2 linked regions of the Mytilus edulis genome follow. The protein of the gene in region 1 interacts with the protein of each later gene in a pairwise test. Links are inferred from orthologs where the notes say so. Each region holds a gene or a part of one and is shown in the gene's direction. Other genes may lie near its edges.

The links.
Region 2: the proteins of BTB/POZ domain-containing protein KCTD9-like (region 1) and protein N-terminal glutamine amidohydrolase-like interact in binary tests that used the Homo sapiens proteins (3 or more experiments, as listed by UniProt). The link is inferred for Mytilus edulis from reciprocal best matches to the Homo sapiens genes KCTD9 and NTAQ1.

What each region holds. Positions count from the first base shown.
Region 1 is NC_092347.1:21,890,943-21,907,105, forward strand, and holds the start of BTB/POZ domain-containing protein KCTD9-like, read left to right. Parts: upstream 1-9,594; 5' UTR 9,595-9,706; coding exon 9,707-9,754; intron 9,755-15,068; coding exon 15,069-15,196; intron 15,197-16,163. UniProt on the Homo sapiens protein: Substrate-specific adapter of a BCR (BTB-CUL3-RBX1) E3 ubiquitin-protein ligase complex, which mediates the ubiquitination of target proteins, leading to their degradation by the proteasome.
Region 2 is NC_092349.1:65,631,793-65,647,450, reverse strand, and holds the start of protein N-terminal glutamine amidohydrolase-like, read left to right. Parts: upstream 1-6,957; 5' UTR 6,958-6,995; coding exon 6,996-7,078; intron 7,079-12,538; coding exon 12,539-12,638; intron 12,639-13,004; coding exon 13,005-13,058; intron 13,059-14,039; coding exon 14,040-14,188; intron 14,189-15,658. UniProt on the Homo sapiens protein: Mediates the side-chain deamidation of N-terminal glutamine residues to glutamate, an important step in N-end rule pathway of protein degradation.

The sequences.
Region 1 (16,163 bases):
TATACAGTCTCCAACAGAAAACCAAAAAAGGAAAAATAAAGTGAATTTTGGAGAATTATTAAATGTACATGCATTTGAAATATTTAAGATATATTGTTTCAATTTTTTTAGTTCTAGGTTCCACATAACTACCATTTTAGAAAACGATTTCAATGCTAAGTCTATTAGAGGGATATTTGATTTTCATTGGTTGTAAATATGGAATCTTATTCAGTGGCAAAGGAAATAGACACTGACAAGTCTTAGATAACATTTTATATAGTTTTGAATTTTTCTTCGTCAGTTGACTAAAATTAGATGGAGGTGTGTTCTAATTTCCAACAGAGGAGCAATCAACCTATATCAATATGTGCATGAAGCAAATTGATAGTTGCTAGATACTGAATGATTATATCCACAATAAAGGTTTAACCTGTGCATATATACTTAAAACAAGATAAAAAAAGTCATGTCTTTTTCAGGACTTCTGAATCCAATCATGTAGTATGGAATGTTATTGAGATATGGTTTGGGTGGATGGATGGTCATGAAGGACCTGTAGTACAAAGTATATCACTGGATTTAGCTCTTTGTCTAAGTGTATTATTAAAGTACTTTGCTTTGAGCTCAGTTCATTGTTATGCAATTCATTCTTTGTGAAATTAAGATTTGACAGACAACTCTAATGGACAAGGATTTGTCAAAGTAGTATCATCTCTATGTACAATGTAAGTATTCAGGAGATAAAAGCATTCTATTTTGATTTGAACCATACATTTTATAAAAAAAAGTGGGAACAAATTTACCGGACAATGCTACTCCCACTACTAGCAATATGATGCTAGGTTGTTTTAATACATCTGTATTGCCTGCTGATGACTCGGCCCTGAGTGTAAACGGTCCTTCAATTAGGAGGGAAAAAAATTATAAGGCCTATCCAGTCTAAGGGAGCTACCATTTGATTTTTATGGGGGGAGCTAGGATGAAATTTGAAAAAAAAGGCAGGACAGGATTTTGAGTAAAAAAAAAAGGCAGGATGAGTAACTTGGCAAAAAAAAAAGGCAGGATGACAATTGTTGTAAAAAAGTCAGGATAAGCTAAGAAAAAAAGAGGCAGGACCGAATAGACTGAAAAATAAAAAGGCAGGACAGAGATTACAACTAAAAAAAAAGGCAGGACAAAATTTTTCATCCTAGCCCCCCCCCCCCCCCCCCCCCCATAAAAATCAAATGGTAGCTCCCTAATCGATTTCTAAAACTATACTTCATTGCACATGTTCAACATTTTTATACAACCACAAAAAATTTGGGGTCGTAAATTGGTATCCTGTCCGAAAGATGGTTTCTGGATAATAACTTTATTATAAGTCAACAGAAATCAACAAAATTATAACACAACGTTTATAACCACAAAAGGAAGCTTGGGATTGATTTTGGGGGTTATGGTCCCTAAGGTTTAGGAATAAGGGGTATAAAGGTGCCCAAAACAAGCTTTAATCTAGTGTCGGTTTAAAAAGTTGTGTATAAGTATTTCAATTGTTCTGAAATTGTACCACAATGTTTAATACCATAAGTAGAAGGTTCGGATATATTGTGTGGGTTATGGACAAACAGTCTAATAATTACGGACCAAAAACAAACATTTTTGTAAATTCAAGACCCTTAATTGGAGTTTGTCCAGAATGGTTCTTGAATTACCTAATACCAATGCTTTATGAAATCTTCTTTGAAAATTGGAGTTATCTTTCTTTGTTCAGTCAACTTAAATCAATTATACAATATACAATGCAATATTCACTTTATTACCAACTGATAAATTAAAGCAGTCATTAATAACCATTCAGTGATTGCAAGCACTTTCTAGGGTATGCCCTTTTACAAATGGAAAAATTATACATTTTTTTAGTTTCTGATCTCTTAACTGAAGTTTGTCTCCTCTAAATGTTTCTCATTTCAGAAATTAAAAAGAAAATTTCTTTAGATATTTTTGTTTGAAAGGATTAATATTCAGCAGCATAGTGAATTGCTCCTAACACAAAAGCAAAACAAATATTTAAGTTCATTAGACCACATTCATTCTGTGTCAGAAACCTAAGCTGTGTCATCTATTTAATCACAATTCAAACTCAGAGCTGTTTCCAGCTTGAATGTTGTGTCAATACTAGCCCCAACTGTTCAGGCTTTGACCTCTGCAGTCGTATAAAGCTGGGCTCTGCGGAGCATCTGGTCCATTCATTTGTTTATTTTTCAATTTGTGTGAATTAACATAGTTACAGTAAATGCTAATTACTGCACTTTCATACCACAACAAATATTGTATCACTCAAATGTGTATCCATATAACAAAAAAAAATGAAAAGGAATAATTTTGCATTACCTTTTGAATACTATGACTTTTTAGATATGTAGACATATTAAGACTCATTAGTAGATGTTGATAATATTGGCTTAAAATGCTTGAAATTCTATCAGATTACTTTTGGAGCAGTTATGAGTTTTGAAATTAGAAAGATCATATCATATGCAACAAGTGTAGTAAGTTTCAAGTTGATTGGAATTCAGCTTCATCAAAAACTACTTTGACCAAAAACTTTAACCTGAAACTCCCACTTCCATTTTCTATGTTCAATGGACCGTGAAATTGGGGTCAAAAGTCTAATTTGGCTTTAAAATTAGAAAGATCATATCATAATGAACATATGTACTAAGTTTCGAGTTGATTGGACTTCAGCTTCATCAAAAACTACCTTGACCAAAAACTTTCACCTAAAGCGGGACAAACGAACGAACGGACCCACAGACCAGAAAACATAATGCCTATCTACTATTGTAGGTGGGGGCATAAAAAATTTAATAAATAACACCATATAGGAAAAACATAGAACTCCTTTTGTCAGAAGACACTGTCAAACATCCATACATACTATCCACACTCATCTGTGTCCACACTTGTAATAATAATAATATATTTATTTAGAGAGAGTAACTCATTTGGATTACACCAATTTTCAATAAGGCTCTCTTAATACAATAAAAATTACATTAAAAATATGCAATGCATCAATAATAATGATAAATAAAGATTAAATACAATTTAAAATGCAATAAACAATTCTGATATGGTATTACAGTACAAATATGATGGTAATGTTAAAAGTACATAGATGTGTATTTGTGTGTAAATTCTGATACTGTATTTGATTTTTTGATTGCATTAGGAAGAGCATTCCACACTTTTGGTCCAGTGTACGAGAAGCTAGACTTATACAACTCTGTATTTGGTTTTGGAATTATAAAATTATCTGAGGATGAAAATCTCGTATTATATTTTTAGTTTGAAGAAGCTGATACAATAAGACTGGACATATATTCTGGAGCTAAGCCATGTTTTGTCTTATACATGAGTAATGATTTGTGACCATGTTACATTCGTGAAATAATTCTCTTGAAGGTTTGGTGTAATCATGTGCGTCTAAAATTATTTTTGCTGCCCTTTTTTGTAGTTTTAGTAAATTATCTAATAGAAAGTTATTACAGTTTCCCCATATTGAACAACAATAATCTAAGTGAGGTAAAACGTAAGCGTTATAGTACATTTGTCTAGCTTTGTAATTTAAATATTTCTTTATTCTTTTTAGTAAAGCTAAAGAAGAGTTAACGTTTTTGATTATATAATCGATACACATCAGTATCGCTCGAATCAGACAGCTAAAAAGACCAAATACTTTACCAAGTTGAAGAGCATACATGATCTTATCAAAATTTGGTTATAACCATTTTAATAGTTTCAATCAGTACTTGAGGTAATTGTGTTGACAACATTAGTTATATTCCATAGATCGAAATACTCACAACATTTGACCTCTTCTATCAATAAGCTGTTTAATTTACGTTTATGCCGTATTTTCATTAAACTTATCGAACAAGAAGCAAACCAAAAGGATCCTCATATCTGTTATTCCTAATTCAGTTTAGATCTGAAAACAAATGGAATGGTTGATTGACAACTGACACTACAATAGTGATTGTACTCACCCTTACGTGTCTGTGTAGATGATTGCTCTTTTTATGAATAAATAAAAATGAAAGAGAACCAGGGATCATTTTCTGCTTCACACTGAAACCCGTTTTTTGACTCGGAAGAAATACTATAGGAAATATTGCTCTAGTAAAATAAAACTCAGAAGACAATAATTGTCTGATATGTTCAGAAACTGAGACACAAGTACAAGGTATATGTTCAGTTGTTTTTAACATGTTAAATGCGTCCTTAATCGTTTGTTCTATTTCGTAAATAACATAAAATGTATGCAGCAGATACAATATACAGAAAATACTCACATTCTCAAAATTGTTTCAGTTGAATGTCTATTTTGAATAGATTCTAGTGTAACATATACTTTTATAGTTACTGTACCACTCCAGGGAGTCTGATGGCTGATGTGATAAAGTTTCTTATAAATTACAAATAATTTAAAAAGTCAAAAGCTCATACAATCTATTACAGAAGCTTGAAGGCCTACGATGATGTAACAATTTGTATTCACAATTTTGAATTTATTCTAACTTTAACATGGAATAATAACCAAAATACAAGATAAACACCAGTTGGGTCTCAAAGATAATAGTTATATGAAAAGCAAAAGACAATTAATTGAGTTTACTTAATTCAAGCCGTCTCCCATACTTTGTGTGTTTACATCAAATTGTACCTTTTTAAATGAAAATGTAGAAATTTTTTTTAATTTCGCAACAAAGAGTGTCTAGAACACAAATGCATAAGTTTGTATCAGAAAATTAGTATATAGCTTTCTTTTGAAAGATGTTTGGTTGTTTATTAAAAGGTTTTTGTACTCGGATATTGCCAAATAAAGGCAACAGTAGTATACCGCTGTTCGAAATTCATAAATCGATTAAGAGAAAACAAATCCGGGTTACAGACTAAAACCGAGGGAAGCACATCAACTAACCAAAACCTCGCGCATTTGTGGCAATGTTAAATATAACACTTAAATGACAATATTACATGACAGGACTACAACAGTACAAATGAAGGCAAGAACATTCAGTACAGAGAAATACACATACAAATCTATAAAACCCATTCAAAACCAATCCTTTTAGCCATCTTCAAAAAACCCATCCTTTTAGCCATCTTCAAACAGTTACAATTTTGCTTTGGAATACAGCATTCAACGATATTTTAATTACTAGCACGAAATACATCACCATGTTCTGCAGTTAAATATTGCCTTGATGCTTTGCTCTGTCTTTATTTGTTTATATTGTTTCGTGTACTGTTTAGTTTTAAGTGATAACCATGAAATAAATTTCATTACAATCATTTGCCCAAAAACAACAACAAACAACTGTGCGTTATTTTAGGAAATTGTAAAACCACCATCAAGTGGAGCGAAGCGAAACACTTTTTTTTCTAATTTTATGTTCACACTGATTTTCTTATCAGGAAGTCGGGACAGCGAAGATGAATTGCACAACAATAACATTTTTAATGGGTTTTGTGTAATCCATCCAATAAATTCGTCATTAAAGAGAACTGACGTTTAAAAAGTATAACATATAAGGATTGGTTGCTTGCTACCAGTCCTTTTCTTTTCTTATTTGTTTTAGTAGCAGACTTGTACGACATCGTAAGACGTAATACGATTGCATAAATAAAAAGATTTAACACACAAAAATATCCATACCGGTTTTTAAACTTACTCTACAATAAAGTAGGTAATTTGCGTTCACCTTAGCATTCCTTTATTATTTTTAACTGTATCAGTGTCTTGAAGCTGGAAACAGTATATCTTACAATTTATAGTTTGCTGCTTAAAGTGACAAGCAAACAAAAACTATATAAAATATACTCATAGTCTAGAACATGGGTAATCCCTCTATCATGACAATTGTCGAAATAAAAAAAATAATTAAAAAAAATGACACAATCATATGGTGATGTGGTCGTTATCAAAACAAAAATGACCACTCACTTTTGAAATCGTGTTGAGATGGACCTGGAGAAATTGATTTCTTACCCGTCTCCGATGCCTCTATATCAAATTAGAAACGAATAATCAGCAAAGGACAAGGTACGATAAGCCTGTTTTTGCCCCCCTGTTTTCTCATTTTTCGAATTCTGTTTTGGAAAGCTACTTTTTATGTTAAAACCATCCCTGATGTTTGATGTTTGTTTGGATGAACTTCAAAACCACTAATCTTCGCAACTGGGTGAGGTGAGGGGGTTGACTTTCTGTTATTATTTAAATATTGTAATTATTATCCTTTCTGTAGGTGATTTTATAACATTTTTTTATTTTTGAGTGCCTGCACCAACGTGACCCAGATTTTTTTCATTACAATGTCATGAGAACTGTTTTTGCTGTCTAAATCGCCATAATTTTTTCCGGGTCACGTAGACGCACGCTATTCGATTTTAAGAAGCAATGGCCAAAACTCGTTATTTTCCCTTCTTTTAACGTTTTTGATGTCCTTTTACCCCCTAACCTTCCCCATTTCTGAAATTAATGGTTTTGAAGTTCATTCAAACAAACTTCAATTCTAAGGGAATATTTAAACGTGATAAGTAGATTTTCAAAACGAAATGTACAAAATGAGAAAATAGGGGGGGGGGGGCAAAATTGGGCCTTATCGTACCTTGTCCTTTATGAATAAAAAAAATCATAATTTCAACGACGTATGAAAAATTAATAAGAAAAATAAATTCGCCAATCGTAAATATACTAGTTTTGTAAGTAAGAAATACATATTTGTAAAACTTAAACATTTGTTTCCTCTTTTTATGGGGAAAACAATTAAATGAAAAATATCAAGAACTTTATCTTGTTCTGGTCTTTTGAATACATATATTTTCGAAATTAAATTTGTCCGTGCTCATTGGAAGTAAGGTGATTTTTGGCAAGACCCAAGTGTCGCGGGCATCAATCCTTTTGGTGTCTTCGGGACTATATGATTGAAGTCGCACTTCTCTTATTATAATCTAAATTGTATTCTAGACTTACTTTTACTGTTTAGTCTGTTTTGGTGGTAGTCATTCGACGTGACTGTGTACTTATATATCCCGTCAATGTATTATTATTATATGATAATTTTTGTATTCTTGTCTTTCATTTTTGCTAATGTGCTCTGTCTATATGACTTTTGTGTTTTTTGTTTTTTTGTTTTTTTTATACTTGGCTTTTTACTTGTACATCCCGTCATTGTGTAATTGTGCTATTTTAATTTTTTGTATTCTTGTCTTTCTTTTTTGCTAATGTGCTTTGTGCCTGTTTGTGCTTCTTTCTTACATATTTGTTTGTTTTTAAAGTGATTAAGATTATAAAACAATGTTGAGTGCATCCATATTTTTGACGTTTTTACCTATAAATATTATGTCTGTTTGTTTTGTTCACACATCGACATCGTTGTCAATATAATGGAATTTGATGCGACTGTCATACAAGTGAGAGGTTTATCTAGCTATAAAATCAGGTTTTCTACATAAGAAAATCCCTGTACCTAGTCAGGAGTATGACAGTTGTTATCCATTCGTTTGATGTGTTTTAGATTTTGATTTTGCCATTTGATTAGGAACTTTCCGTTTTAAATTTTCCTCAGTATTCAGTTCGATTTTTATGATTTTACTTTTTGTTATCGATTTTGACATTTTTTAAATTTCCTTTTTAAGTTTATCCAAATTTTCATTGCAAGTTTAGCCGGTACAATGCTGCTGGGGATTCATGGATGCGTATCACAGCTATATTAGCATAATAACCAATTGGTGATGGATGCCAAATGTAATAAAGTTAAAACTTAAAAGTGGTAAAATGAAAATGAAATAAACACTGACGGTAATTAAGGAATGACTGTAATATGTTTTCTGTCTATGAAGAAATAACATAAAAATGTGGTGCACACTGGTGCTACGCGGGTTGTTTTAAAGTGTGCAACACATTTTTTTTTATGTTATTTCAAATAGACAGAACGAATATTACAGTCATTTCTTATAATTTAATTCTAAAATTCAATTCTAATCCAGCGTAAACCATGAAAAAACGTTAATGACGTCACACTGTCAATGTATATGTGTTCCATTTGTACGGTACATGACAAAATCATGTCTATGAGCTGATAAACAAAACAACGTCAGCCAATCAGAAGACGCAAAGCTTACATCCAAAATTAAATTATTAATATATAATTTATTATCCAAATTCAACTTTTAACATGTAAATTTTCAAATAAATCAAAATGCGTCAGGTGACATTCTATTAATCTGTATAGATAAAAGTCTGTATCTGCTCATCATGGCAGAAAATCATATTATTTAATGGAGTTTGAGTTACTTGGTCTTTATTTTTTTTCTTATGTAGTGTTTTGTGTATGCCGGATTTTGTCTTTTCGTTACGTAAGGTTTATAAACACTTGTAAGGAATTATAACGGCAATTCCATTTTATCGACTTTATTCTGTCATTTGGTCCATAAGTTTAACCCTTAGAGCGTCACGTTTTTTTGTGTTTTTTTGTGTTTTTTTGTTTTTGTTTTTGTAAACTACCGTTGAGTGCCAATTAAGTGATAGGCACTGGGTGAAATTTCAACGGAAAACATCATAAAAGAAGCGTTACAATGCATAAGGTCATGCAATTGTTTTCGTGATTCGGTGTAGATGGTTGAGGTTTGTCAGGTAGATTTTTGTTTTGTTAATTAATGGTAATGGTCAATCTAACGGATGTTTATGAAGTATGCAAATTTGATAAACCCATTAGAAAATGTCTAAAAATGAATTTTATTACACAATAACTTTATTTGAAAAATCCACCATGGCTAAAATGCGAAACTAAACTCCTAACTGTGTTTTGCTACCTCAACTCGATTGCTTTTCTCGATTTCGCCGTGACCGGCTCAAGCGTGAAAATCAATCTCGTTGAGATAACCAACGATAATCTATTAGTATCAGCGCTTTCTGTTTTAATGGTATACAAATACCTACACTGCGGCAAAACTTTATGTAAATTATAAATCTGTAAGGTTTTTTAAAATCATTATTCAATAGTAAAAACATGTGGAGTATACATCAGTAAACAGTTTTACCAAGAAACTGACAATGATATAAATTTCGTCTGATCCTTGGCTTTCTAATTTCGACTCCGTGTGTTCTTGACAAAAAATACTGATCTCCGAGGAAAATTCAAAACGGAAAGTCCCTAATCCAATGGCAAAATCAATGGCTCAAACGAATGGATAATGTTAGTCATATTCATGACTTGGTACAGGCTTTTCTTTATGTAGAAAATGGCTGATTTTATAGCTAGCTAAACCTCTCACTTGTATGACAGACGCATCAAATTCCAGTACTGTATATCATAACCAGTTTTAAATGTTCTTATGAATTCGCACTATTACGATTAAAAAAAAAGGTCTCGTATAATAACTGTTATTTCAATCTCAATAATCAGGTGTTTACTCATTATATATACTTTTGAGATCGGGGCAACAAGAAATAATTTGATTTTTTACATGATTTAAGCGACATACATTTGTGAACATTTGTGAACTGGTTTCTTATCTTTTTATCTGTTTGGGCTTGGGTATGCTTATGTTTTTACGAATCAGGATCCCAGTCGATAGTATTTTTCAATTACACATGCGATTGAATCTATAAATAAAGTTGACAGTCGAAAGTGTTTGGTTTTATAAAATGAATATCCACTTCTGAAACGGTGAAATGAAAAGATTTCTTATATTTCGCAACGGAAGTTCTACAGATGGAAAGGTATACTTTTATTCGAAGCTTAAAATAGCCGACAAACGCCTGTTTTTAATTTTTTGCTGTTAAAAAAGTAAAATCACAAAAAAATTATACTGAACTCCGAGGAAAATCCAAAACGGAAAGTCCTTAATCAAATGTCAAAACCAAATGATAAAAGTTCATATTCCTGACTTGGTACAGGCATTTTCAAATGTAGAAAATGGTGGATTGAAACCTCTCACCTGCTCACTTGTATCCTACCGTAGTCTAAAATTGGTCATCTTGTTTATTTGTTCGATATTTGTGTTTGAATTTAAGACACGGGGAAACTACACTACTTCCAGCATAGAAAATTAGTGCAGGATACGTTTTTTCTACTCTTTTAATAATGTAGAATAAAAAAACATGTCCAAAGGTAAGTTTTCATGGTTATTCTCAATTATTGCTCAAACATGCCAATTTTCTAACGGCCGTTTCAATCCCGACTTCCGAATGTCTGAAAACATTCAAGAACTTTTCAAAATCCCACTTCTGGCCTCCATTGCTTTGTATACATTCCATTCAGCGTCATCAATCTTTTGGCAGGCAATACAGGTCAAGCAAATCGTATTTTTATGAAGTTCAAAATGACAAGCTCCTTACCTCTTTCATGATTTTCCCGTGAAAAAAGACCATCCAAAATGAAAGGAAAACTATTTGAAAAAAACAATGTCCATGCCATTTTTTTGTGCAGGAATATAGACATGATAGAGTAGGTTAATAATTCACAATTTACATTTATTTTCATAGAAAAAAAATAAATTATTAAAAGATCGATATTCTGACCATCATGACTGTAGGTAAATATTCATACAAAATTTCATTGATTGTTCTAAGGGATGGCAAAAAATGAGGTTTCCTGTTGAATAAAACCCCAAATTATTGCAAACTATTTTAAAGCAATATCCCACAAACAAAAAATATAATTGCTGTAGACTTAAAAATCACCTAATTGACAATAGTATCGTGTATCGTGTTTCTTGTGGTTAGTACTTCGCTTTAGGGTTAGTAATGAAAGGCGTTGTGTTCATATCAAATTGTATTCAAGTTATGTTCAAGGCAACGTTACGTAAACAATAGGCAACGTAAACAATAGGTAACGTTAGTGACGTTAATTACTTAGTAAATGTACAGCGGCTAATACTTGTTACTGGGGGCGCCGAAAAGTGAAAATTAATCTAAAATTATGAAAAAGAAATTAACATACAAAGTGTGAAATGATAATTAACTATTTAAAGTCCATGTAAATAAATAGAAATTGTTAATTTTAACTTAAACTGTCTATTCACTATGATCATTAACAAAATTTCGGCGCACTTGATACCAGTAAGTATATTGTCATGAAAGTATTAAGTCCATGTTTGAATCTTTAGCTTGGCTTCAGTTTTACTCGGTGCTCTGTCTCCGTGGATTTTCATCATTCCTGGTTCCCTGCTAAATGTGTGAATCCTACCATTGTTCTTCATTGTGTTGCTTTTTGAATGATACGTCTCAAAATAGTCTTTGTTAAATTTCATTGAATTGTCAGATACTTCTCCCATTGATTCGATTTTCCCAAAACGTTTCAAATAGACTTCTTCTGTCTTGTGTTGTAACATGAAAGATGAGGATATGGGTCCAGCTGAGTCTTTCATTGGTCCAGAAAGTAGGTATCCGAGTTTTGATTCTACTACGGTCGGGCCTGGTCCTCGGATAACTGTGTCTTCTACGATATCCCAGTAGTAATCCGAACCTATTAAAAATGAAATCCTGAATTTATCCATGTCGCTAACAGGGTGCGCTAATGTAAGTCCACTGCGGTAAGGCAGTTTAGCAGCATTGTATGGCATGCGATTGTGTAACGGGGCTGCGATATTAGGGACAATAAATACTTCCATTGGTATTTTCTTCCCATTCTGAGTTTGTAAATCTATTACGGCAATGTCCAAATTGCGTATATTTCTGTTTTCATTTCCAAATGCTGCTAGGCTAACTGTCGAGGTTCCATTCGGTTTTAATTGCAATTCAGCGGCTAATTCCATGCTAATAAACGACTTCTGAGATCCTTCATCTAAAAGAATATTAGCGGTAGCTGACCTGTCATCTACCCAAACTGGTGAAATGGCTGTCTTTAATAAAACGTCTGTCCTTGGTTTAATGTTCAATGTTGACGTGTAACATGTTAATGCATCATTTTCGCTCTCTACTGTACTCACTATGTTATTTTGCGGTAAAGATTTTGCTGTACTTACGCTTTCCTTTTCTTGATTCTTATTACTGTCACAAAGACTAGTGTGGTGCTTGTTATCACATTTTCTACATCTAAAACGCGAGCGGCATTCTGAAACTTTATGACTTCCAAAGCAACTGTAACATACTTTTTTCTGTTCAATGATAGCTAAGCGGCTCTCTCTGTCTACAACACTGGTACATTCGACTGACGAATGCGATTGTTTGCAATAAATACAGGTTTTGGGTTTGAACTGATTTATTACATATTGAGGTCTTGCAGTGATTTTGGGTTCAACTGTTGTGTGAAATGACGCTGTGGGTGTGAAACTGTCTAATTTATCTGAATTACCAATTTATTGTACGTACATCTCTTTGCCGATTGCTTCTCTAAGGGACCTTATATCCCAATTCCGTTTTCCGTGTTCTCTGGTCATGAGTTTTTTCATTTCGTCGGGCAACTTTCCAAATATGATTGGTACTAAAAGTGATCCGAATGTGTTTTGCGATTGTCCGAGCGACTCTAATCCCCTTATGCACGATTCCATTTTATCGTAAAATACTCTTATGCTGTGCGGCGTAAGTGACGGATGCGTAAGTTCAAGTAGATTCTGCATGTATGCGTTTATAATGGTTTGTGTCTGTCCATACCTCTCCTTTAACAATATAGTTGCGTGTTCATAGTTGGCGTTTGATAGAGATAAACCGGATATGCATTGTGCGGCTTCACTGTGTACCTGAGATTTGAGATAGCTGAACTTTTGTATATTTGTCAAAGAGGGATTGTGATGAATGGTTGTCTCAAACGATTCCCAAAATGTCTGCCATGTTAATATGTCTCCCGTAAAGTTTGGTAGATCAAGCTTCGGTAGCTTGTGATAGAAGTTTGTTGCTGTTGTTGGGTTTGCATTCGTATAAACCGAGTTGTTATCTACGGAAAATACATTTTCTGAATGGTTTGAATTATGATTAGCAATATTTGTTGACGGAAAATTTGATGAATCAAGTGTATTGGCTATTGGAACATAAGTTGTTTCACTCACCGTTTGCTGAAATGGGGTTGTTTTCAAAAAATTTGTTTCAAGAAACTATGTCCTTGAATCGGCGAATGGCGACTTCCATATTCATTGCATAATCGTCCGCGTCAAGAATTTCTTGTTCCATGTCTTCTAATTCAGTTCCATCTAAGATCTGTGAGTCTAAAGATTCAAGCAGGTTCCTCTTCTTTGTAAGGTTGTCTGCGGCAGCCGAAAGTTCTTCATGTCCAATATCTTCTTGCGAAATTCTTTCCTTCGTTCTATTAATTAATCTTGTAACTGCACTACGGTGACCACCACGAATTGCTTTTAATTTCTCCATGGGTCACGGCACCAATATCGTGTATCGTGTTTCTTGTGGTTAGTACTTCGCTTTAGGGTTAGTAATGAAAGGCGTTGTGTTCATATCAAATTGTATTCAAGTTATGTTCAAGGCAACGTTACGTAAACAATAGGCAACGTAAACAATAGGTAACGTTAGTGACGTTAGTTACTTAGTAAATGTACAGCGGCTAATACTTGACAAATAGAGCAATTTGATTGGGTAGAACAATTTAATACATCACATGATTTTGATGCCATTGGAATTTGAATGTAAAAAAACAAGGTCAGTAGCTATACATGTAGGTTCAGTATGGGACAGCATCGTACACTGAGTTCCTGAGAAACAATTATGAGTTACCAAGCTTGACAATACATGTTAATAAAAAATTAAAGCTAAGTCTACAGAAAAAATAAGAAAAAAATGTCCTTAGGTGACTTATTATCAACATAGCTGGATAAAACAGTCTTATCAAATTGCAATTATATTTACAACGATGAGCGAACAAAACAGACAATAAGTTAAAATTGTCAAAATATGGGTACAGCAGTCATCACCATGTCACAATCTCAATTAGAACAAAAACGAACAAAAAACAGTTGAGAAAATGATCCTTGACTTCATCTAACTTCCAAATAAGACGTCTATGATAAAAAAAAAATCAATGACCCCTTCCTATCACTTTATAAGTCTGGAGCCCTTTTATCTGTCTAAACACTTTAAGAGAGATTTTTTGTCGAAAGTTTGAGACCCAATTTTGGCATAAAATCTTTGAAAGCACTAAATTTGTGGGTATACATTTGTAGGATAGGTTTTCCCTGATTACATGTTATACCTAGGCCCGAGTCCATAAGCCCTGAATTAGTTCTGCCTACTTTTATTTATTAATCATGTTAATAAACTTGTTCAGATATTTATATTTTATAAATTCTTGAAATTCATGAATATATATATAAAGGTTTTAAATTTTATGGCTTGTTTTGGAGCAAGAATATTTCAGTTGATCTGATATGTCTTATTGGCCATCATACCACATCTTTTTATTTTTATATTGAAAGTAAAACTATGTTTGAATTGTGGTCAGTAAATTTTTGAAATGTTTGTTATGCATTTTTTTCCAGAATTGATCCTTGGTAAAAGTCTTGTTAGAATATTCAACAAAAATTGCTTCAACTTGTTGATAGGTTTCTAGGCCCACCAAAAGGGATACACTAGTTTCCAAAAAATCAAATAAAATAAAAAGAAGTTATGAACTGTTAGATTATTACCTGAAAACTCAACTTCTCAATATTCATGAAATATATTACTGCTAAAGACTATAAATTGGAGATCTATACATGTTGTTTTCACTCAATAAAAGTACAATTTACCTGATTTAACACTTATATAAAAAAAGAAGATGTGGTATGATTGCCAATGAGACAACTATCCACAAAAGACTAAAATGACACAGACATTAACAACTATAGGTCACTGTACAGCCTTCAACAATGAACAAAGCCCATACATGTTATAATTTAAATTGTGGGTCTTGTTTGCAAGTTCTTTGTACTAAATTTATTTAAAAAGATATTCAGACACGTTGTTGCACAATGGTCAAAATGATGGTAATATTTTGTGTTTTACATTCTAAATTTAGGCAGTTTATTAATGTTGTACTTGTATGAAGATCATTGAATTGTAACATCATTGGAATGAAGATGTAGATGTCCCAATTTTGGTCTTTTTTTAGATAGTTTCTGTTTCTGATGCTGGAAAGTTGGACAGTGTACTTGCAGATGCTGTTAAGAAGCTAGATATCAATGCAAAAGTTTTGTACAATCCTTTAGGAGCTGTTTTAGATGATGCTTCATTAATAAGGTACCGGTAATGTTATAAATAACACTAAAATTACTTCTAGGTAACAAGATATTATAGAAAACAACTGGTCCAATTAAAGATGATACGAAAAATGTAAAACCACAAATTGATAAATACTCCACTCCAAAAAATTGTAATCTGTAAGTCCCTTATTAAATTGTCTATTAAAATCCTCTTTTGAGTTCTATTGTCTGACAGGTCCATGACTTTTTGAACTATATGTATTCTGATCACCATTTTGCGACCATTTATATCTTTTCTAAAATCTTCTCCTTTCAACTACAGGACCAAATAGGAGCAACCAAATATGGACTAAATCATTTTGAAAATATGTGGTAGGATCCAACTGCCTTTGTGTGTAGTTCAACTATGTATTTTTTTTAATGTAAAATGTAGGTAGCTTAATTTTTAGGTAAAGATTGCATGAAATGCAATCAAAACCATATGGGACTGACTTGATATCTAAATGTTCCAAGGCTTATCACTACCTTTTTTGATACATACAATATAGTGCATTGATCATAACATTCTAAACATACTATCCATGAACATTTCCAGAATTTTTTCAATGTAATACAATGTATATGCTCAGATATTCAAGGCACGAAAATTATGTTTCACTTGTCAAGAAAATTACATAACTTTTGCAAGGTGTAGGAATCTAATATCTCTTCTAAAAAAAAAACATGTGAATTGTTAATCTCATCTTTAAAAATTGGAGTTACATGTATCTTCCTTTGTCTAGAATAGCTGTTAAATCAACAGAAACCAATGCAATATTTAATTTAACTTCGATTTCACAGTGATAAATTGAAGAAATCTTTACCATTCAGTGCTTTCAAGCAATTTGATTATATGATATCTTCAACAGTTTAATTTAAATCTTCAATTTTGTAAGATTTTTATTAGACATGTATACGAATTGATGTAAGGTGCAAATTCTCATTTCATGAACAACTTTAATTTC
Region 2 (15,658 bases), on another chromosome or scaffold:
TTTATATCCACTGTGATTCACCCACCACTACTCTCACATCCTCTCTCATTCACCCACCACTACTCTCATATCAACTGTCATTCATCCACCACTACTCTCATATCCACTCTCATTCACCACATCCCCTTTCCCAGTGAATTACCTTGTGTACCTCACCATCCCAGATATGAGCTTTTGACCCGTTCGGGTGTAAGCATAGACAATTCAAATGGATGTGACAGTATAGAAGTTCTACTCCCTCGGAGCTGTGGATACCACAGTCCATTGGGGACAACTCCACTGCCTAGCATTATCTGGGAAAGGTTGGTATCCTTACCTTCAGTTATTTTTTTTTTTATCATTACCTTACCTTCAGTTATACTTCATTGGGTGAGAGCACACAATCATTACTTTAAAACAGACACTCTATTGTAAATAAATATTAATAACAAGTTTAGCAGTGTTTTAACATTTTAAATATTGCAATTAAATTGCAATGGAGAATTTATTTCATTTTATTTTCGTCTTCATTTCACGTGTTGCGTTTTCTATTATATTGATTGTTCTTTTAGCTATATTATTTCCCGTATTTTGTATTATTTAAAAATATCTAACTGGATTAAATAAAGGGTGGTAACTACGATCTCCTTCTATATACATATAACTCTACAACATATCAAATATATATAGCATCTAGCATATTAGTTTGGTATATAAAATGAATTCCCTTGTAAATAGTGAAGTGTTGAAATGTCAACATAAGGCTAGCTGACATTTTATTTAACTGATAGTACTAGTATTGGGATTTTTAAAATGGATTTTACAAGGGAATCTTGCTTTTAAAATCTCCCTCGGTTGATTGATTGATTGTTGGTTGCTTAACGCCCCCCCTCGGTTGACTTGCAGGGCTATTGTTTTTTTTCGCGAACCCTTTTATTTAGTTTTAACGCTAGCAATCAAATTTTGTGATTAGAATATTTCCCCCTCCCCCACACACACACACACTTTAAGTTAAATGATCGTTCCTTCATTGTTTAATAATTCTATACATCTTCTCTTTACCATCAATATATGGCGTATTATATCACTACATATCTTTTATCTTTATACATGCACAAAGTAACGGAAACAGCGCGGGATGTTATTAATTATTTTTAATCTTTAAGTTACTATAAAAAAAAAAAAAAAAAAAAAAAAGTGCCTAACAAGATTTTGTGAGGTAGACGAAATTGACTTTAAAACGATCGTATTGACTTTTGATGTGCAGAAATAGGCAGATCGGACATATTTTGACTTTAGTTACTTACTTCTTAAGTTTGGGATTAATTGTAATCAACATATTCCAATGAGACTGAAAAATGCTTTTTTTTTATTATGATAAATAATAATTTTACCTGCCGTAGTCGTGCGTAAAATATATTTCGGTATTTCTCTTACGAAAATGACTTGTTTAATGGAACAAAACGTATTATTTGTAAACTTTCTCTTTACTCTTCACAATAGGCTTTTAAAAAATAACCTTTCCAACTGTATATTCCGAAAATTTTGTGAAAATCGAATAAGTGGCAATTCTTACCTTTCATACCTTAACTTTCATTGATAAAACATAATATTGACTCGTCCAGTGTCCAGTTTGAAGGTCATTTTAGTTACCGGTCACATTCATGCACGTTCTAATTAATCAATAGTCATGTATGAAAAGCATAAACAAGTTTGAAGGTAAACTAATAACAACTTAATCCAATCAAATTGCCTACGATTCAATAACAATGACCAGTCCACATCATAAAAATGTATAGGGGTAAACTGGGTAGGGAGAAAATGTCAGATATATTAAGTTCATTATTTTGCAATAACGAGTAAAAGTTTGTTAACCAATAGATTTGTTATAATTTCATAATCATGTCGTTATGTATTGGTATAGTTTTTTGATCTTTCATTAGCGTATTTAAGGCTGTAGAAAGTTTGGCCTTCAAAAGTCAACATAATCATTGACTTTATAAAGAAAATTCGCCTTTTTAAAACATTGAATGTTTCACAAATAATACGCGACAACAAAGCAAAATCATTTCTTAAAACACTGCAAAAAAAATAATTCTGATTGATGCAGTGGTATTGTCATAAATTGCACTGGAGTGAACAGTGGTACATCAAACGTCGCGAATTCCCTCACACAATGTTATCACACACTATAACGGTATTTAAATAGGAGCAAAATTGCTCAGATTACTTCAGTCGATCACCCTACATTTGTGCATTGAACAATATAGTGTGTTATTCCATAATTAGGGAGCAACAATTTATCTTTTAGGGGGAGGGTTTCTTTATTTGTTTGAGTCATAAAAAAAATAAATTTATTTTTTCAACGCCATCAATCAAATTAAGTTTTTTTGGGGGAAAAAAATGTGGATTTAAAATTTATTTTGCATCGCATAGGGGATCACAATATGATCTTTTGGGTAAAAATATAACACCCCTGCTCCCCCTTAGAGTTAGTTGGTCGTTCCTTGATCTATGGATATGATTCCAGGAAGGTTTCGAGCCGTTTTTACATTTATTTCCCAAGTTGATCCGATACCGTGACCTGCTAGTTTGGATGGTGTACTGAAACTTTCAGTGTAATCCTTCAAAATAATGACTATGTTATGATACTCCATACAAAGGTCTGAATGCAGGGGTCTTTCTGTTCTTCATTCTTACTTTTGTAGACGGACCCAATATCTCTTCCTTATCTATATCCCGCATCATCTCTAGACTCTACATATTTTCGGGAAAAAAATCTTTTTTTCATAATTTATCACCCTTTTATTATTTTTGCCCGTTAATCTTTATTCTGTCAACCCAATCCAGACTCTCCACTATTGATGCTGCTTTTGGTACCCTTTAATATGTCATTATGGTACTTAAAAGGTCCTTTACATGTAAGATTTATCAATTCAAATTTTTTAAAAGTTATCAAATTTTAGTTTTTGGAATTTTGATCAAAGTTTCAGAGTTTCAGAATTTCAAACTTCCAATTTATAAAAGTTATATGCAGACAAAAGATTGAAAGAGATGGGAAAGAAAGGCAGGATCATTATCAAATCATCTGATACAAATGTCATTGTTCTATATATTCATTTGTTCAAGCAGATGACCAACACGAGTGAATTTTGGATCCAAATGGGAAATATTGGTACTATAAAAGATAATAGAAGGTTTTTGCCAATTCACCAACTGTGTTCTTCTCTCCCTGAAATCATTTGTAGAGTTTTTCCTGCCGTACATGCTCTCTCTGGGTGTGACACTACATCTTCCTTTGTTTGTGGCAAGACTTTACGACCAAAAGAAGAAATATGCACCCTGCCATCAGGACATTAGCAAACTGCGAGTTAAGCTTGCTATAAGCAAGGATTCAAGTCTGGTCAGATTGCCACCTTCTGAAGCAAAGCTTCGACAGCATATCCTTCGTGCATCATTTCAGACCAAAATTTGGCATGCTTCCTGTCTTGCAAAACCACTCCTGCCTTCACCATTGGAGTACGGATGGAAATCATTCAAAGATTCATTGCATCCTGTCTACTTTGAAGGAAATATGTCAGCAGATTTTCTTCATGACCTCGTGTGTTCGTGTAAGGGAAAATCACAATGTAAAAAGTCGTGTGTTTGTGTCGACCAAAACCTTGCATGTATCGACTTATGTTCCTGCCAAGGATCAAAATCATGCAAGAACGTTCATACACATGCCCTTACAGAAGAGGTTTGAGACTAAATTGTATTTGCCAGTAAGGCTTTTGGTACGATTTGCAAATTGAATATGCATTTCTGATATTGTATCACTGAGACCTTTATTACAAATCTAAAGTTTTCACACAGTTAAATGCAGTTTCTTGTGTTCCTTGTAATGCATGGTATAACATACACAAAGTTTTTAAGCCCACATATCAGTCTGTGTTTAGAGAGTTTATTGTCAATTTGGCGTGTACCAACCCTACCCTTAGTGTACAACACTTAATTGTTTAACTTAATATTGGGTAATAAAAGATATTTATCTTAAATCAGACATGTGTTTTCGTATTTTGTATTCAATTATTATGGTTTTGATGCTTGTAATAATGATTGTTTCGAAAAAATACTTCTTTTGAAGTTAAAAATCACCCCCCCCCCCCCCCTTTTTTTTTTTTTTTAAATGTTTCACTTTATCGATACAGTTTATTTTAGGAGTTTTTTTTAATTTTTTGGATGAAAAATTGAATGAAAAAACAGAATCCATGCTATTTTGCTAAAAAAAATATGCGATAAGGTAATTTAGTTGTTATCTATAAATATCCATTGCAATTATGTATGAAAAATGGTGCCTTTGATCTCGATTTCTGAAAAACTGCACCATATTTAGTTTTGACGACCAAACTAATTTTAAAGTACATATATTGTCGAATCGAATGATATATGAAACAGCCGTATATCATTTTTGACGATTAAATTTTTAAAATGTTCACTCTGGTCATCGTACTACTTGTAAGATTTATCAATTCAAATTTTTTAAAAGTTATCAAACTTTAGTTTTTGGAATTTTGAGAGTTTCAGAATTTCAAACTTCAAATTTATAAAAGTTTAGAAATTTAGAAATTTTTACCAAATAATTAAAATTTTAAAATTCAAAATATGATAATCGTTTAATTTTAGATTTGATAGTTTAAATATTTTGGCCGTACACCAATGCTGCTCAAAAACCAGCTAAATTTTAAGTAAAGCATTTTACCTACAGAAAGCTGACAATTTTCAAATATTTAAAAGTCAAGTAAATATAAGAAGAGGTGTTTCAAAATTGGTTAAAAGGAAAGTTAAAATATCAAATTTCATCTAAGATATACGAAGATGTAATATAAGTGCTAATGAGACAACTGCCTATCTAAATCAAAATTTGTAACAATAAACTAGTATATGTAAAAGTACGGTCTCTGAACAACTCAGAGCTTTGCCTCACACCGAAAAGGGCTACTTATCCTGCAGAAGTTGGAACTTAAGTTTATTTGTAAAAACGACCTATATAATGATTGATTGTTGGTTGTCAGTGGCAAATAAATCAGGGGGATATCTGAGCCAGATTTTTTTATTCAATTTTTAACACAATGAGGTAAGAGGAAAATTTGAAGTTAAAATATTTTATTTGTCATGCATTTGCTTGATCAGATTATCTTTTTCTAAATTTAATTGGGTATCAGAATATTCTTTTAGAAGTAAGACCCCCCCCCTTTTTTTTTTTTATTAAAGTTAAAAAAAAAAGTGGTCGTTTCCGTAACACATGTTAATATCTTACTACATCAGTTACTGAATACTATAGGAAATAGCACAATGTGTTCTGCATGAGGATTGAATAATTATAAATCCCACATCTTTGTAGGCCAAGGTTTAAAAGTTGTTCTCTCGTCTGAGTTTCTCGTGTCGTGGCTATCATTTATCTTGACGTATTATTGATTTTAGTTCAATTTAGGTGCCATACAATTGTAACGCACAAATGTTTTGTTATTTTACAATACATATTTCCGAATGAACAAAATCCGTTTTTCAATATAGCTTTTACTTTAACATGTGAATTTTTATGCGATATAATAAATAAATAATCCACCGAGAATGTTCTTGGGATGGTAAATTTCCAAAAATACTCTCTTTATTATACTTATCAAGGGATGTTACTCCTTCCCAGGTTAAAAGCCATCATGGTGTTATATGCTTTTAACCCCAAAAGGTCTAACATAAACTTAGCAAGTGTCTGGAGTGTCCATGAATCTGACACAATACAGTAATTAAACACTGAATAAACCTGTCAATGGTTTTATAGCTCTATTAAGAATTATTACTGTATGCATGGTTATATATTTAGTTACCAGTTAAATAAAGTGGAATTTCCGTTTTTCTAAAATCATTTTACAGAGTACTGCATCTTTTAATCTTGTGTTACACATCTGTAATGTCTTACGCTGTTCATTTTCAGTTTGAAACTTATCATATTAACCTGAATATATAAGTTTATTTTTCCAAAGTCATACGATGTTGTTGAGATCAGTTTCGTTGCTTTTGTTTCTTCTGTGGCCACTTGTTTCACTTGTTATAATAATTTGAAAAAAATATGTCTAGGATGTGCACTTGTAATTGGAAGATGCTAATAAGACATGCAACCTGTAAGAACTCGATTTAAAACGCGTCCCTTTGTGCACCTGAAATTATACGTAAACTTAATAATTTAATTGTGTTTTGATCTATGACAAACCCTTTTAAAGATTGAGAGGTCAAACAGAAATACAGAAAATTGCCGTTCAAGCAGCTGGACGCTTTTCTGTTTTAAAAGTGAGGTTTTTTTTGCTGCTTGCACCTCGAATAAAGTTCCATAGAAATAAATTTTTGCCCCATAACACCCATTTATTTTTTCATATAAGACTTAATAAGACTTAATAGCTCATAAAAGGTCATGTACCAAAATCTTAGAAGATTCTTGTTTTTCTTTCTTTTGTTTTGAGACCCAAATGAACCAATGCAAATATAAGGTAAGAGTCCGAGTCAGCCTTTTCCCGCCATATTTAAAATCTCAAATATCTCAAAAAGGAGGTCCATGACCTATCAATATTTTTAGCTTATCTTGATCCTTAATTGATGCTCTACCAGCTTATAGTATCAATTTTAATTTCTTAATTTCTTAATTTTACCTAACCTCACCTAAGTACATCCTTACGAAGATTGATGGTGACCCGGCATAGTGATCATTACGAAATTCCAAGGTTTGATAACACTATGTTTTATGATTGTTTTATCATTAAAAAGTACACATTAATAGCAAAATTGATTGCCTTATATAATGCAGATTCTATAGCAAAAAAGTCATTCGGATCTCATCAAAAATTTTACGTTGTTGTTCTATCCTGTAGTCTGTATTTTTGGGGATATTGGTAAAACCAAATATTTTCAATTTAACGCTTCTTTTCTAGATCATTAAAACGCTTTCTCTTTGGAAAGTGAAAGTAGAAAAAGAAATCGAAAGTATGACTGACAACAAACACGAATTAGAAAAAAACCCAGAATTACCATTATCGAAAGAAGAATGCGTATACACAAAGTGTTATTGGTACTTTGCAACTATTTTTTATTCAAAGGGAAAAAATGTTTTCTTTCTGTTTGCCTTCTTACAATGTCTTTTTTGCAAAATAGTGGCAAGGAAAAGATTCTGCATTATCAAATTGCATAATTTTTGATAGAAATAATTCAGCATATCACAGTGCATTATACAAAAATACATGGACAATGGCCTTTCGTCCTCAAAAGCAATGTAGTTCACCTTTAATATAGCTATTTAGAAATCGGCGTTGGTCCACGATTTCCCGAGAAATACAAGAATAACGTGATAATTGATATCCCCAAAATAAACTGATATATCCTGAGAATAAGAATTAGATTTTTTATGGTGTTTTGCTTATGCTTCTTTTTATAGTGTTATACTACTTTTAACAATATTATACAAATATAGCCTTTGTATGAGGTCGATACAAGGATATATTGACCTGAAAGAAGTATATTGACTGAGGACGAAGTCCAAGGTCGATATACTTCTTTGGGTCGATATATCCTGTATTGACCTCATACAAAGGCTATATTTGTTATATTATTAATTTCCGACCATGTTTGTATCAAAATCGTCATTTAGGTTTGTTGGAACTTTATAGATATTAAATTGTCTCCTTGACAACAACAACATATATATTATACAATTATGGCCCGTTGAAAAGGTGAATATCCAAAATTGTCAACACAAGAAGGTTATTTCAATGAGGGCTCAGCCCGAAGTGAAATAACTTTTAAGGGTTGACAATTTTGGATATTCATCGATTTTAAGGGGCCACAATTGTTTTATTATACCGAACTAACAGTGGAAGGGCATATCAAACACTTACTATAGTGCCTATATTTCTAACATATAACACACAGACTGACGTTTGAAAATACATTTGTGTTCGAATTTCTCGAATTTACAACAAAAGTAGAATCTTTTTGTAAAATATTGATGGTCCTGACAAGGACCGTTTATAAGAGATATTATCGGCTGCTTGCACTCTCAGCTCTATTCATGCCCAATGCTTTATTTCCTCGTCTCTCCATGGGCTTCCAGTGTAAAGTGAACGCTGCCATTTTGTTTATTTACGTCTGTGACGTCATTTTCATGGGAGGTAACTCAAGTACAAATCAACAAACTCAAAAGGTTATTCACCGGTGAATAATATGCTTTTTGCCGGTCAAGATGCGTTTTGCTATCCGCCGTTTTCTCTCTACCTTTGAAAATATAGTTTAACATGTGACTATCCCTAAACGAATCAAATTTGTTAAAATATACGAATTAATAATATTAAAGAATATTAATTAAAAATATTACTCGTTTTTATTCAATAAAAGTGCAATTTCATTTCAAAAATTTGATTTGTATGTCTTGTATGCAAATTTCTCGTTGAAAACAATATTGCGGATATTCTAAAGGTAGACAACTTAAAAGTACTGAAAGAATAGATAAGTATCAAAAGTACTGATTAAAATTTATATAAAAAAGCTATTACAGTTATCATAACGTTAACTTCATTCGGGTATTTAAGGGGTGATCGAACGTTAGACTTAATTATTTGTTTTTAACTTTGACATGTTTGAGATACAATATATATTAATTTTTTATATAATAGTATATATATATATAAAAAATCTTTGTTTATCTGTGAAAAAAGAAGACAAAAATAACAGACAATTTCGCTTTATTTATAAACGGCGATCAACGACGTTACGTAATTGTAAAAGAAGGCCAATTTAACATTTTTTGGTATCATTTTCATTTGAGAAGAACTATGCTTAAAAAGTGGAAAGAAATCTATTACTGACCCTAATCATGCTAATGGCAAGTAAGAATGAGAAAAAAGAAAAATTTCCAAATTGGCGCCAAATTGTTTTTAACTATTACTAAAATAACATGTTTCCAAAATCTTAGGGATTATATTGTTTTCTTATGATATGATTAAATGCTGTTATATCTGTACAATTTTCCTCAAATATCTCCTTTTAAACTAAAGCTTGGTCATGTTGGTATTATCACAAATTGCCGAAATAAATTAAAAAAAACATTAAGATTGAATGGTTAGGTTTTTATCAAATAAGACCCAAAAAGTTGGTCAAACCAGTTAGGCAGCAACCATTTGATTTTCTGGGGGGGGGGCTATGGTTTTTTTTTCTGGACAAATTTTTTTTCCGCCTGCAGCGAAAAACAATCTATTTTTTTCGCGACAAGTCGAAAGCAATTTTTTTTCTTTCAATTTTAGCATTACATATAGTGGCAGCTGAGGGTGAAACAAACAATTTTTTTTTCTCAGAATCAAAAACAAATTATTTTTTTCTCCAAAAACTGGAAACAAACTTTTTTTTCCAAAAAAAACCATAGCCCCCCCCCCCCAGAAAATCAAATGGTTGCTGCCTTAAGTCTAAAAACGCATATTCAAACTGCATTATTTGAACTTTTTATTGTATTATGTAGTATATTGTGTATTGTATTTAGCTGTGGTGTAGATTATGTTGTTTATCAATTACCGGTCATAATCTGACACGTTAAATCACAATTATAAGGTAACAAACAAAAGATGTGAATTAATCCATAAATAACTTGATCAATCCAATATAGTCTGTGATGACAGTATTTAAAATCACATATAGTTTCTTTTTTTTTTTAGATATTTTCAGAGCAGTAAATATTTACTTTCATGTATATTTGAGGAATGCTCTTTCATAAAAACAAATAAACATTTCTTAAATAGTTTTAAATATTTTCACAAAATATAAGCTGACACAGTAGGACAGATCGAAAGGCACAGACATAGAGATAAAATAAAACAAAATATCAAAGTGGCTTGATACTTAAACAGGGACTTTCTATACTATAGACTATAGATAGTCCCTGACTTAAACAACTGAATGATGTCAAGAAATATAATGATTATAATTCAATAAATCTTAATTTATCTACATGTAGCTTAATGAGCTATTATATTTCTTAAACTGTAAAATGAATATATGCATTAACAAGTAAATATTTTAAGATCTCTCTCTTTAATTTTCAAACAATTGTATATACTGATCCTTTGTGTCTTTTTGTACTTTGACTTTCTGTCCGCCAACGTACATTTGTCAGCTAGGTCAATTTTTTATCCACCAAAAAATAGGTTTTCATGAGTTAATTTTTTTTTAGAAATATCTTATTAATTATGGATCAAACTTTAAGAATTTAAGTAGAATAAGAAAGAAATTAGGACTTTTCATCGGCCAGGTCATTGCCTATGTTCATTTGATGTTGGTCAGGTCACATAACCACAAGCTTTTAATACTTTTTCCTATATTGTTCTTATATTCATGATATTTATGTACGAATTGGTCTAATCTTATTATATTTCAAATTTGAGAGGAAAATTCTAATGAAATAAAAATAGTAATTAGAAATTTCATTTGGTCCTGTCATTGTTGAGGTTGGTCCTATCAGTCAGCGATGGTCATGTCACGTTTTCGCAAGTTTTTGAAAAAAAGTTTATTTTTTTTATGAAATTTATGTAATAAATGACAGATGAAATCTTATTTTATATCTCAAATTTGAGATAATTCCTTTGAAAAAAAAAAAAAAAGTTATTAGCATTTCTATCTGGTCCTGTCATTGTTGATGTCGGTTTTCATTCTCACATGTCAGTGTTGGTCAGGTCACGTTTTCTTAAGTTTGTAAAAAAAATATAATCTATTTTTTCTTCTTAAATCATTATATAAAATGATAAAATCTTATTATATTTCAAATTTTAGATAAATCCTTTGAGAAATGAAAAAGTTATTAGCATTTTTCATTTGGTCCTGTCATTCGATCCAGTCATTAGTGTAACAAGATAAAAGATATAAAAATCGATTTTCTGAAGATTGCGTGTACTTTAATTAATTATGAACGCCTTAAACCTTATTATTGTATGCTGTAACACTTATTTAAGCAGTATTACACCTATAACACCACAAAAAAATCGGGATTTTTCAGTTTGTTTTGGGGATATTACGTTTTTCTTGTATTTCTCGGGAAATCGTGGTACCCCCTGTGAATCTGCTCAGCTAAAACTTTTGACGTTGTTCAACAATCTCTTTTCCATTGTGAAGTCAAATTTTTTACAGGAAGCTTTATGGTGTCATTACTACACACCACAAACATGACAAAGGTTCCTGTAAAATTTTGACGTCACAATAGAAAAAAATCTGATTTATAGCAATAAGGTGTATGTTCTGTACATCAGCCAAAATAAAGATCCATTCCTAAACACAATGACTCTTTACATTTTCACATACTTGAACATGCTGAAAGGGATAAATACCTGTGTGTGACATTTCAATAAGACCTACATGTATTATGGCATAGTCATATGTAATGACTCAGGCAAACCGCACACTTAGCATGCTTAGTTTTCTTCAAGTAATCTTAATGACATTTCTATCTCAGCATGCTCAGTAAAGTGACAGGTATATACGTGATATATAATCTTTAGTCAGATCAACAATAGAATATATGTTAACTGCCATCCAAAAAACAGAAAAATACAACCAATTGAACAGTCCACAACATGTATGCGCTCGCATACCCAATTTATACCATCCTACAGAATACAAATATGCTATCAATCCTTTTGTCCACGTACAAGTAAAATGTGGAAAAACTTAGCATTGTGATAAGCAACTCTGTCACATCATTTTAAACAGCTGTCTCAACTTATAATGTTATTCTTATAGTTAGTAAATTTATCAAGTGTAAATTTACAATTAGCAGATAAGTTTTATGGTCTAAAAATTAAACAAAAATAGATAAAAATGAGTACATACATGTGCTCACTACAAGTGACATAAACTGCAATGTGTTGAAGGTGGTCAGTATAAAGTAAAAATAGATTGAAGAAAAAGGATAAATAGTATGAATAAAAATTTACACTTTTATGGACTTTTATATCAAAAAATTACTACAGGTACATTTTGTAAGATCTATTCAAAGTTGGTACATGTACGTGTACATGTAGTACAATGCAGTGATTACCTGTTATTTTATTTTTAACACAATTTATTATTCATGACAATACAATAGATACAGGAAGATGTGGTATGAGTGCCAATGAAACAACTCTCCATCCAAGTAACACTTTATAAAAGTAAACCATTAAAGGTCAAGGTATGGCCTTCACACAGAGCCTTGGCAAGCTATAAACGGCCCCAAAAATTACTAGTGTTAAACCATTCAGATGGGAAAACCTACGGTCTTATCTATATAAAAATGAAAAACAAAAAAACAAGTATGAACTACATCAACAGATGACAACTACTGTACATCAGATTCCTGACTTAGGACAGGTGCAAATAATTGCAGCGAGATTATATATTTTAATGGTACCAAACCTTCTTCCTTTTCTGAAACAATAGTATAACATCACAACATAGAAAGATACTTTATAAAATATCAATTGGAAGGCTTAACTCAATCAATTAATCTTTTTTTTAGTGAAGAAAATGTTTGGAAGGTTTGTGAATATGTGAAGAATCACCATCCTGCTGTACTAGATAACTGTTACTGTGTATTCATATCAAACAAAGACAAAGTGGTAGGTACTAAAATTGATTTAATGTTTAAAGAAAATAAATAATTTATATGTCAATGATCATGATGATCCCAAAATACAGTTTATAGTTTATCATGTTTATAGATAGAATTGAATTGCATGCACCTATAAAGAAAACTAAATAAAGTAAAAATCTGCTTTTAATACTGTTTAACTTTTCACAGAAAATTAAATTCCTTGCACAACCAATGTTCATATGTTGTAGAGAGCAGTAAACACTTCAGATACTAATATGTGTGAAGAACAGATTCAAATGAAAATTTATTAGTAATAATTATATAGTGCTATATATATAAGATATTAGTAGCTAACTTTTTTTAATGCTACATTTTTATTATTATTTTACAGATACCATTATGGCAGCAAAAGTCAAGTCAAAGAGAAGATACTCTTGTGATATGGGTAAGTTGGATATCACTTAGTACCGACATTTAAAAATTGTCTTTTTTTTAATTTAATTTCAATTTTATATCACCTTTAAGTTTCACATTTTTTTTTATCTTAATACCGATTTTTTGTAAAGGTTTAAAGGAATTTGCTGCTTCTCTGCTAAGCCCATAGCATAAGAAAGGAAGAAAGAGCTATGACTGGTCAACTCGAAGTCATAATATTTCTAGGTATATAAAAGTGACATATCTTCCTGCGAACTGTAACATTGTACACTAGCATGTTTAAAATCAGGCTCAAATTGTTGATTTTAATATATATGTACAGCACAAGGTTAATTTTTTATATCACAAAAAAGGTGTATAACCATGTTTTCATCCTGAATATGCATTAAATCTGCCACTGGACATTAAACAGCCATCTTATTGTCAACCACCAATAACCTTATTCACAGTGAATCACTTAACACTAACCAGAACATATGTCTGTTTTAAAATTGCACTTATTTTTCATTATTACTTCCCTTTGAATATAAGCTTTATAGATTGCAATTCTGTAAATATAGACAATGCAATTTCCCATAGGAACTACCTTTGCGGCTAAAACTGGGTCACTTTTACCATGAAAATTTGTGAAAAATAATCCCAGAACGGAAAGTTTATATGCACTACTGTTTTAATCATAGGTCAAAATACAGTGCTGTGTAGCATATTTTCAACATTTATATGCCCTGAACTTCTAAGAGTTTTAACATATATACTAAAATTCTATGCTACCTTTACCTCCATTTTTGGACCTCCTCAGAATTAAAATTTAGGCGCTACCATGTTTTTCTATACTGGTTACATTTACATTTGGTTTGAGAAACAGAGTGCAACCTATATATTGAATACTTTATTAAGAATGTCTTTATTTTTGTAGGATTATCATGTGATATTTATATATAAGCAGTCTGATAGATTGAATACTTTATTAAGAATGTCTTTATTTTTGTAGGATTACCATGTGATATTTATATATAAACAGTCTGAGAAAGAATCCTTTGTATATGACCTTGATACATCCTTACCCTTCCCATGTGACTTCAAAACATACTTTTTAGAGGGAATAAGATCTAATCAAACCTTACAACCACAATATCATAGGTATGTACAATATATGACAATTAGAATTAGTTGTCTTATTGACAATCATACCATATCACCTTTATATATATTCATATAATTTAATTTTGAATGTAACACATCCTCTGATTGGCTGACCTTGTTAATGTTTATCAGCTCATAGACATAATTTTGTCATATGAATGTGAAGTCATCAACGTTTTCATGGTTTACTCCAGCTTAAAATAGAATTTAGAATTAAATTATAAGAAATGACTGTAGTATTTTTTTTGTCTATGCAAAATAACATCATACCTGTCAACCTGTGACAATGAAAATGCAGGTCATGACCTGCATTGAAGAATCAAATCTCAGGTCATAACGCGTACGAACTTTTTCGAGCTGAATTTCAGTAATTATGGTACATTTTCTTATAATGTATATCAACGATACCAAACCATCAATGCATGTTCACTTGATTAAGTCATTTTAAATCCTATTAATTATTATTTCATTGCACTTTTAAAGATTTTTATATATTTGTGTAACACAGTCTTATGTTCTTTACTTTTTGTGATGATAGATCAATTTATTTTTCAAATGTAATTTTATAAGGTTTGCAACTACTGGCTATGTAGCCTTTAAACATACCATCATGCAAACCATAAGGAAATTAGACTATGATAAAATATAGTAATACAGTTAAAGGAAGTATAAATGTAAAAAATAATTTTCAACTTTTATTTTAAAATTGTATAAAGGTATAAAAATAATGAAAATTTATTTTTCAATATGGTATTTGAATTTTATATTTTCATGATTTAATCTTTTCACCCATAAAACGTAAATATAAGGAATAATTTTGAATTGTGACAAATAAGGGGAAGTAACTCTAATTGAAATATTTTTGTAAATTCTGAATAGTGCAATTAATTTACAACCTAAAGCTAAGGTAATTGGTGTTAATTAACAGTGTGTTTGACACCAAAGCTGTCAAGTGAAGCCATGCACTAAATGGGTCACTTCATTTGACAGTTTACATAGCTAGATGAACTTCCTGTTCATGGAAGAATTACGAATTTGCCGGTATTTCAAAGGAATATTACTTATGAAATCAATCTCAAGGCCAAGAAATACGGGTGAAATCGGGTCATTTTCGGAATTCCCGGGTTATTTCAATGACCCGGCGGGTGTCCCGGGTGATCCCTCAGAATTGTGAAAATCTCGGGTCACACCCGCAGAATCCGGGTCAGTTGACAGGTATGTAACATAAAAAATGCTGGTTATTCACTGTGCAGCACATTTTTTTTATGTTATTTCTTCATAGACAGAAAAAATATTACAGTCATTTCTTAAGTATTTTAGATTTAAGATTATGATCCAAAAGTATACAGTAGTTATACTCTGATTACTCTTCATACATACTGGAAACAATTTAAAAAAAGTTATGTTTAAAAACATTGAATAACAGCTATGTCTGTTCTGGGTGGGATTACTGAAAAGACAATATAA